Saccharomyces cerevisiae S288C: one gene and its partners. Changing the gene in region 1 together with any one later gene gives a genetic interaction. Each region holds a gene or a part of one and is shown in the gene's direction. Other genes may lie near its edges. The genes, in order: CSS3, ATC1 and BIT2.

Region 1 (2,793 bases):
GTGTTAAGCTCTTTCCTGAACTAGAATTCTCTTTGAAATAATCACTGTTAATGTAAGTAGTAATCAATAATGGCGTGTAACAGTATAATATTGTTGTCTGAAATAAAAAACAACAAAAAGTTCGAATTAGTTTTATTTTATTTTTCTTTTCTAACTAAGTGAATATCCATACGTTTGTTACGTTTATTTCAGCAATATTATAGTCTTAAATGGGCTTGACAATACAAAAATCAATGAGATTATTCGCACCTGTCATTTCCCGTAGTTTTTATAAAGAAATATAAAAAAAAATGTTGCGAAGAACTTTTACTAGAGCGTAAACGAATTAAAAAAAATTAGTAGTGTAAATATAATCACCACCTGCCGTAAGCCTGCTTGAGCCCTTTATTATTTAGTTTTAGCTGTTGCTAACCTGACTTTCATACTTCTTATAATTGACGTCATAAAAAATATTCAAAGTTCGAAAGAATGAAGAAAACATTGACCGACTTAAAAGAAGCAGTAACCCCACGAAATTTTAACCAGTGCTGATTGTGCGAGAAATCGACTCCAACAGTCTCAGATCAGAGAATATATGAAATATTAGTGGCCCCATACTTATAATGGTTCGCTGATTAATGTATAACAAGCGTGAAAGTATGTATAGCTGCACGGATTGTAGATAGAGCTCATTTAATATTAGGTATTTTGCCCATGTCATTTTTGTGCAAGTCATTTTCTCCTTTGGAACTAAATTTTCTTTAAAATATCTCATATACAAAAAATCCTAACTCACAAGTTAATGTTTTCCATCATAAGTAGACGTTTATTTAAAACATGTTATTATATATTGATCCACTCTTTGCAGTGTCGTTTTCCTACAAAAATTAGATACTTAATCTTGAGGAGTGTAGAAATAAGTGAAGGCGACATAAAGATAGAGAAACAGCCATGAAATTTAGTGAAAGCTGACACTCAAGAATTAGGAATGTAATAAGATAATGAATCACAACATATAAAATGGAAAGTGAAGTAATAATACTATTCTATAGAATAATCGACGATCCTTCATGAATTGCTATATATCTGAGGAGAACTTCTAGCATATCCTGCATACCTAATATTATAGCCTTCAATAATAATGAAAATCCTAACAATTATCCAATTATTCACCAAATTCTCTATTTCAACAGTAGTATTATGGCATTGATTATATTGCAAGCTATAGATTCGATTTCATGAATTCATAACACTCTAAAAGAGAACTTCTGCAATACTCTGTACAAATAACATTATTACTTTTACTAAAAATAGATTTCCGGACACTAACTTTTGAATTCTTATCAAAGCAGTCGAATGCCGCGTCCTACGGTTTATGTATATAGATTTAAAAATACACGTTAAAGACTGTTTTCTCCATAATTCTTGTTTAATATACCTATGAACATAAGCGAGTCAATCAAACTCGGGAGTAAAATGCTTTAAGGCACGCCGCTTAACCTTTTAAAATACATGTCTGAACATTATGTAACCAAACTAAAATTGCTTTTAAATGGATCCGCGCAATATCTAAAAACATTAACTATAAAGGATAAAAATTTTGGACAAAAAATAGCAGTAGCATGTTTGCTTCCTAAGCGTTTGAAGTCAAAACCATTTTTAAAAGGGTAGAGAGGCTTAGTAAAAAATGGTTCCCTTATTTGGTTTATTTTGCATTTTTTCTCAATTGTACTCATTATGCTCCGCATATGTTGATATCACCAGCGGTTACCAAGTATTTTTCAACTTGCCAACTAATATGACAAACAATCAAATATGCTGGCTATTCCAAGCATCTTACTATGATATTTATTCTGATAAAAGTGGTAGAACACTTAGAACGGGACGGTTTGAACCCGGCGATCAGCAATCTTTGATTTATAGGGATACCTTAGTTGAGTTGGAGGCTATTACAGATTCTTATGAGTACAGTAACCTAGATCTATCGACTTATAACGGACCTGAGCCATATAATTCTGAGACTGATTATTGTACAGATATAATGGATTTGGTAATGCGTGTATATGATGAAGAAGGACATTATGTTCATCCAGTTGCGAATAACTCAACAAATGCTTGCGCTCATCCAACTCCTCCTACGTTAAACAATCTATTGATAAGTAATTATTCTGACGGAAGAAATTATAAAGAGTCTTCTATATAATGGTGTAGTAAGGATACTGGAACCCTTTTATGACACATTTAGCAGTAAGATACATTTTTGGTTGATGTGATCAAGATTTTTTAGTTTGTAGATTTATTATATAGCACTGGGACATCATTAACATCGCACTTTCGAGTTAATGTATGTATACACAACATCGAGGAACAACAGCATCTAGGGTTAATGACATTGTATTGTATACTTTCGTTGTGCTAGTGGTGGCGTGATGCAAGAAGCTGATACATACCTGAAAATGAAAGAGGACGTAGCTATACGGTGTTTGTGGACGAGTTCACATACAGTACTGAAAAAGATGAGGATGGGCTGAGATAAAGTTTGAATGATAATGAATATTATTACATCTTCTTTCATTTTATATACCGTCATTCATTATCCCATGAAATTATCAAGCCTCGCGTTTCAACCTCTACTAAAATCGTTGACTGTTTCTCAATATTTATGTCTTTCTTACGTTGTATACGATAATATACACGTACTATGGATACTAGTCGATATATGATAGTTAATTCTCATTCCAATAAAAGTCGACACTACCGCTACCACCTAAAGTTATACTGTTTTTATGCGTGCGTACGCAACAGTTCATCAGA
Region 2 (3,237 bases), on another chromosome or scaffold:
AAAATAGTAACAATTCCAGTCATAGGTTACTAAATCTCGAGGAAGAAGACCAAATCATGTCTGGATCTCTCCCCAAAGAACGCGAGGACGATAACGATTCGACTAATAGCACAATAGTACCGAATCACCCAGACAATGATAACTATAATGATAATGATAACGACAATAATACTGGTATAAATTCCAATAATTTCAATCTAAATCTCTATGATGACAATGATAGTGCAGGCTTTACAGATGTAACAACTGAAGGAGTGAAATACTCAAACTCGAATTCTACAGTCACCAAACCCGTTTATAAAAAAGCCGTCACCCTGGATTTATACGGCGAAGATGATATGGATAACATGGGAGGATGGGTATTAGGAGGTAATGCCCGGTAAAATAATCACCTGAAAAAAACTAGGTTAAGCACAAGGCAAGGGAAAAAGCCAAATTACACATATACTTGATTATAAATAGATTAGTAAAACATATATTCTAAATTAAAACAGCACTTTAACCGATATTGTATTTTTTTTTTTGGGTTTACGTGATACTGCGTAAATCTTCAATTTTCAGGGCTTTGTCCGCAAGGGGCCCGTTTATTTATCAAAAAAAGTAATGAGATTTTCGAAGAAAGTTCATAAACCTATAGATCTTGTTACATTTGGCAAGAAAACAATAAGTGGGATCTGCGGTCCAAGCAACGCATTTTCTTTTCTCTAATCGACAAGTTCAAGTAAATATTTCTATTAGTCATATATCTCTCGAGCTTATATATTAATAATGAAATCATTTCAAAAATCTTATGAATTCGATTACCCATGGGAGAAAGTCACCACGGCGAACTGGATGAAATATCCAAACAAGATCTCCACACACGTTATTGCAGTCGATGTGCTCCGCCGAGAGCTCAAAGAACATGGCGATGTACTTCTTACAGAACGGCTGATAACCATACGTCAGAACACCCCTCACTGGATGTCCATTTTAGTGGGGAACACTAATTTAGCATACGTGCGAGAGGTCTCCACCGTTGATCGAAGGGACAGATCTTTAACTATGAGGAGTTGCAATATGACCTTCCCGCATATTTTGAAGTGTTACGAAACCGTACGTTATGTTCCTCATCCGAAAAATCCATCGAATGTGACTCTTTTCAAGCAGGATGCAAAGTTTCTGTCTGGTGTTCCGACCAAAACCTTTAGTGAGAAAGTAGAAAACTGGGGCGTTAAACGTTTTAGTGATAACGCGGTGAAGGGGAAAGTCGGGTTTGATAGTATTCTAGCAATGTTCAACGATATCTGGAAAAATGCTAACGAATAAAAAAAAATACATCTTTTCTCAAGCATTTTTTCTCAAGCATTTTTTCTCAAAAAAATAAGGATTTATAGCCTCTTTGCATATAACTACACTCAGAAACTCAAAAATAAGTGAATAGATTAATTTGCCAAAATAGTTTCTATAGCGTGTCTTTCTCTTTTTGCAAACTCGTGTCATCTTGATATAAATCAAATATTTTCTGTCATTTTTTTTTCTCTTTTTTTTCAGTTTCTAGAATTTTTTTTTTCCACTTTAGCGATGAGATGAAAAATTTCCAAAAAACATGCGGTACGGTATTTTCAATGAAAAATTTCAGAGGGCTAGTGCCCTATTGAAGAGCTCAATACTTGATTGAAGTTTTGACATCTTAAATTTTGTTGGTTCAAGTTACACTAAGGTTGTGATAGGGAAAACGTGAAGATAATGAACACGAATCAGTCCAATCCGAATACAGATTTAACAGATGATGCCAATATAGAACATACGTTGCATCGGCTGCTCACTCAGGCAAATAATCATTTTGATGATACAGTAAAGATTGATGGGCAGAGTTTAGATTTGGGAAAGGATCTCGAACAAGTTATGATGGATAATTTAGACTGCACTGATATTTTTGATTCCGACATCGCTTCTCAGAAACACCTAACATTGGAATCTTTATTTAACGATGAACACAACACCGATTCGAGCACACTTTTGGAAATGCAGAGAAGTGCTAATGATAGCCTAGTTGGTATTGATCTCGATAGGCATAAAAAGGGTTATACTGGCAAGGCATCATTAGATAAAAGTACAAACCAAAATAACGTACATAAACCTGATAAAGAACAAAAGAACTATAAGATAGATAAACCCACCATCAAGAAGAAAAAATCCCTTTTGAAAACCACAAATGAACCCATGTTATCCCCTGCATCCCTATCACCTTCATCTTCGTTAGCTTCATCCGACGCTAATGAATCCCACCTAAAAATAGAATCCATGATTACTGATATAACATCTAAAATAGATTCTGCAAGACAAGACATTGTATCTGCAACGAAGCCTGCTAAGTTCACAAATGAGTTTACAATAAGTCAAATTTCGGAAATGAAGGCAAGAATAATTAATACTCATAAATTGCTGCTCAATTTCAATTTTATTAAAGAAGGTTACGCGAGATCTTGTATTCAATTGAAAAAATCTATGGACTCTTTAAAGGATAGTGAAATTCACAGAGCACATTTATTGGTTGAGAATGATGACTTGAAGCAACAAATCCTAGAACTTACTCAAAAACTCAATGAAAAATCATCCAAGGAAAGTTAAATTTAGAGTTAGTTCTGCTAAGTTTATCTGCATTTATTGGTTTTTTTGTCTTTACTACAAAGATGGTCCAATTTTATATACAATATACACTACCTTTCTCAGTCATCGTTATTCGTACTCAACTTTTATTATTTTAAGGAACACAGTCGCATTTTTGAGTTTCATGTATAAACATTACTATACGCATATTTCGTATTTAACTTTCTATAAATCCCCCAAAACGTTTTATTAAATTTTCAACGGTACGCTCGAATAACCGATTTAGTTTGAACAGGAGGAACCATTTTCGCTCATGCGTATGGCTTAAAAGACCATCGAGTCATTTTTAGTAGGGAGGTAATGGTTATTTAGTTATATATCTAAATCACTATCACTTTCACTTCTATCATGATTTGTAGAAGCGAAGCGTTCCGTATTCACAGATGAATGCTTTCTTATTTCGAATGTGTCTTCTATAACACCTGAATGGGCTAAAGATTGCTCTAGCCTCCTAATATCAAACCCATTAGGGTCATTTCCCAGTTTACTAAATCCTACGTAGCGAACTTTTTCTAGGCCATTCTTGTATCCAACTACAAACGGAAGTACTTTAATATTCAGTTTATTAACCAAAAATGGACATGT
Region 3 (3,877 bases), on another chromosome or scaffold:
TAATTGCGAACGATTTGCCTATATAAATACTTAACGGCACCCCAATCATCCACACCCTCTGAATGCCGTTCTTCAACTACTTTTAAATCACTCTCTTTTAGTAATAATTTCAAAACCTCTCGTTCTTTGGCGTATTTTGCCCTTAAAGGTATTTCTAGGTGACAGGTCCCTGATGCCGCCAAAAACTTCGATATCATGTTAACTACCCATTCCGGATGCTGAGGCGAATATATCGGGTCGGCGATCAATATGACGTCAAATTCATTTTCATGTCCAAATTTATCTATAAAATCGTGAGGATTAGTCCAATCTAATATCTCTGCTTGAACGAAATCTCCTAAATTATTTAATGACACATTTTTCTTCAAATTCGTCACAATCTCGGGTAAATCCGTCACGAAGATTTCTATATTTTCAGTTCCATAAAGTTCTTTCCATTTTAAGGCCCATGAAAGTCCTACTAAACCAGTGCCCGCTCCTAATTCTAATACTTTAATCTGTTTGATGTCGCTGTTCGCTAACATGTTCACATTAGTGGTATGTAGGTAATCCAGGTGATCTACGACTAATTGTGAAAGTATTAAAGATGATCCCCATGTTTTCCAACCAAGATTATCGGCCGTTAAAGAGGGTTCATGAAGCGGTATGGAAGTGCTTAGATTTCTTAATTCAAAATATCTTACTATGGATGGTTGGGCCGTTCTCCCACAGTTTTCGGATATCCTTGAGCTCAATTCCTTAAGAAGTTCTTGTATGATTTCCTCATTCAATCCGCAACTATTATTGTATTTTTTCAATACACTAGTATAGTAGCCCAACAGTAGTTCTTTGGATACTGTAAATCTCAGCATTGGGATTTTATTGCATATCTTTTCCAACGAGTTTAACCTCTTGTTAGGCCATTCTTCTGTATACCAAGTCAAAAGTCTTTTCAGCAGATCGGGTTCCAGCCCATGACTCTTGCAAACCTCCAGTACAGATTTGTTCTTCCCTGTCTCCTGATTGAAGTTTACTTGTCTATCGGGCTTCAGAAGTATTAGTATACAAAGGATAACTTCTGGCGGAGCATACTTCACGGAGGGCAGATCCAGATTATCGATAATGGTGTCATCGTCGTCACTCTCTTCTTCATCTACAGCCGTTAATATTTCGTCACGTTGCGGTGAGCAAGGATCTTTTGGCTCTCTCTCTGCTAGATTGAACTGTAAAGCCTCAACCTGGATGTCATCAGGGGTGTACAAATCGAGAGGATCAAACATAGTGAAATATCCGCTATGGAACTCCTAACTTGCATGAGTTAGATACTTGAAAAGTAATATACAGATTGCACTACTATTATTTTGTAGCTCATCGCGAAATTGAAGAAAAAATTTACGATTGGAAAAAAAAAAACTACTATCAGAAATAGGTGAACCAATTTTAATGCCTGGATAGAGCTGCATACGCTACTAGCTTAAACCAATATTGGTGTCGCCTGTTTTCCTTTACCCAATCCAATATACCACTATACTGCGAATGAAGGTGTTGAAATAATTTGACAAGAGCACTTTATCCATTTTGCATGCGACCTTTACTAGCAATTTTTCAGCGATCTTTGCGGGCTTTAAAATAAGGTCAAAATTAAAGGGAGAAAGATAGAAGACAGTAAATAAAAAATACAAACCACAATAAGCATAAGTGGCTAGGCGAGTCTTAAACTACAGAGTCAAGCAATGGCAACAGACCTAAATCGTAAAAGAAGTGCTACCTCAGGCTCACTGAGCGTCACGAACCCGAACATAAAAGCAACTAATCGCAAACCAGCTAGAGTTTATAGTGTTTCTTCTGATATAGTACCGCAAGCGCTGACACATCCCGACGAAGATGTGCATCTAAAAACATCCAAATCTCCTCATGATGCCGCTCCTAGATGGTCACAGGTGGGGTTTCAATCTATATTCCATGATGGTTCCAATGCAAGGCGCTCGACGGATTCGATTGAAGAGGAGTACAGCCAAGGCACGGAGAATAACGATGGTCACTCCGAAATAGGTTCATCAAGTAGTAACCGAATGGAGGGGAACACCACGTCTAATGATAGTTTATTTTCTTCCAACTCAAGGGGCAATAAAAGGCGACTGTCCATCTTCACCAATTCAAAAGATAATATGAGAAATCGAAGCAGGAGCGGGTCAAAAAACTACGGCACTGTTATTACCGGCACAAGTAGTAACAACATAAGTAGGAGTGGCTCTAAATTGTTTCATACGAAATCTAATATGAGTGTGAACAGTTTACAATCTTCACTGTCTACAGGACATTCTCATTCAAACAAAGGCAGTAATGTCTTTAGCAAAATGGCAAAAAAGCTTTTACCCTACAAGCCGCATAATTCCATTGGTAAAGACGACGTTGAACCCGTAGTTCCCAGCCCATTCAGTAAATTTCTGCATTCTTCATATGGTAAACATAGGTCACCCGTACAGTTTATCCATACTTCTACTGGAGGCCTTATTGACTCTGGAAAATCTGTATATTCCTTTAACCCTAGCATTAACAACAACCCTAATGATACAGCTCTATCGCTGATCCAAGATGATGCTTTCGACGCGACTAATGTTTCTTTACTACATGATTTACTGAAAAACTTGCCATCCTTGATAGCAAACTATAAAAGCTTCACCGTACAGGAGTTATTTGTTCTGGAGGGGAATATCTGGGGTATATACTGCAGCATAGTTGTGGAGCTATTTAAAAACAAGAGGGTATGGCAATTGCCAGCAAAAATAGAAGATATTGACCGGCTGCTGGAATTTTATATCACTTTGAAAACACAAACCAAGGCTGCCGTAACGCACTCAAGGTTTTTGGCCGAAATCGAGGAATTCATTACCACTTCACTTTACATTTTAGAGAACCAGATTGTGTTCAATTATGCCAATGAGGATACCGTAAATACGGCTTTGAAAAGAGTCGGCATAATCTGGAAGGTGTTTTACCAACAGGTTTACTACGACATGATGGCAGTGTTACTGCCCTTCGAGAAAAGCTTCCAAAAAAATAGTAACTACTGGCTTGACGGATATCTATCTGAACCTTCAAGGTACGCACCGTCAATTGATGTCCTTTTATTAAAGTGTTTTAGAGACTCCATCATTCTTCCGTATTACGAAAGCTTCCTACATACAAATGACGGTGCCAGTAAGAGTTTTCAAAGATATATTTTCAGCGAGGAAGAACAGAACGGCGTCACAGAGGAAGATAAACTGACGCTGCTGCAGTGTTTTGGGATCCTGAATACCATAAAAGGTAACAGCAGAAACCAAAGAATTATTGGTGAACTTCTTGAGGGCATACGCATGAGTATATAATTAAATATTTTATTTAGTAATATACAATAGTGGCATATAGATAGGTGTATTTCCTTTTTCTTGTTCCAAGAATCCGGAAAAACAGATGCTCTTTTCCGCCCTATAAAGGGGCCAATGGGGAAAGTGCAGATCATATTAACTTGCTAAAGAGTCAGAAAGAACCAAATAATAAAAAGAAGAACTAATGTTGTGCGCCATCAAAAGCACAGGTTATCGGTATCCTCGCACGGGAGCCTTAAATCTACTACGTGGACGACCATTTAATATGGCCACCCGAAAAATAACTACTGAAAGGATCCCCGGCCCTCCCAAGCTGCCAAGAGAAGAGCAGGAAGAGTTCGAAAGACTTCAGAGGATTGCCACATCGCAAGAGGCAATAGATCAGTATAATGCGCAGGCCACCGGCGATCGTACAAAGGAGAGTTTGAATTCACCGCTTTTAACCAAAAACGATATTGGGTCATTCTCGCCTGAATTTTCCAAGACCATACCTGAATTCGAAGGTGATGTTAACCCCAAGACTGGTG

What was found.
Region 2: mutations in CSS3 (region 1) and ATC1 together harm fitness more than expected from each alone (negative genetic interaction), as found in Saccharomyces cerevisiae (2 studies listed by BioGRID).
Region 3: mutations in CSS3 (region 1) and BIT2 together harm fitness more than expected from each alone (negative genetic interaction), as found in Saccharomyces cerevisiae (2 studies listed by BioGRID).

The regions. Positions count from the first base shown.
Region 1 is NC_001147.6:16,670-19,462, reverse strand, and holds CSS3 (Css3p), read left to right. Parts: upstream 1-1,666; coding exon 1,667-2,182; downstream 2,183-2,793.
Region 2 is NC_001136.10:830,005-833,241, reverse strand, and holds ATC1 (Atc1p), read left to right. Parts: upstream 1-1,728; coding exon 1,729-2,613; downstream 2,614-3,237. Other genes in the region: SND1 (Snd1p), read left to right, coding at 1-383; UPS3 (Ups3p), read left to right, coding at 769-1,308; PLP1 (Plp1p), read right to left, coding at 2,965-3,237. UniProt on the Saccharomyces cerevisiae protein: Involved in cation homeostasis and in the regulation of the cation stress signaling cascades. Also involved in bipolar budding.
Region 3 is NC_001134.8:742,234-746,110, reverse strand, and holds BIT2 (Bit2p), read left to right. Parts: upstream 1-1,712; coding exon 1,713-3,350; downstream 3,351-3,877. Other genes in the region: EFM2 (S-adenosylmethionine-dependent methyltransferase), read right to left, coding at 1-1,259; SDH8 (Sdh8p), read left to right, coding at 3,535-3,877.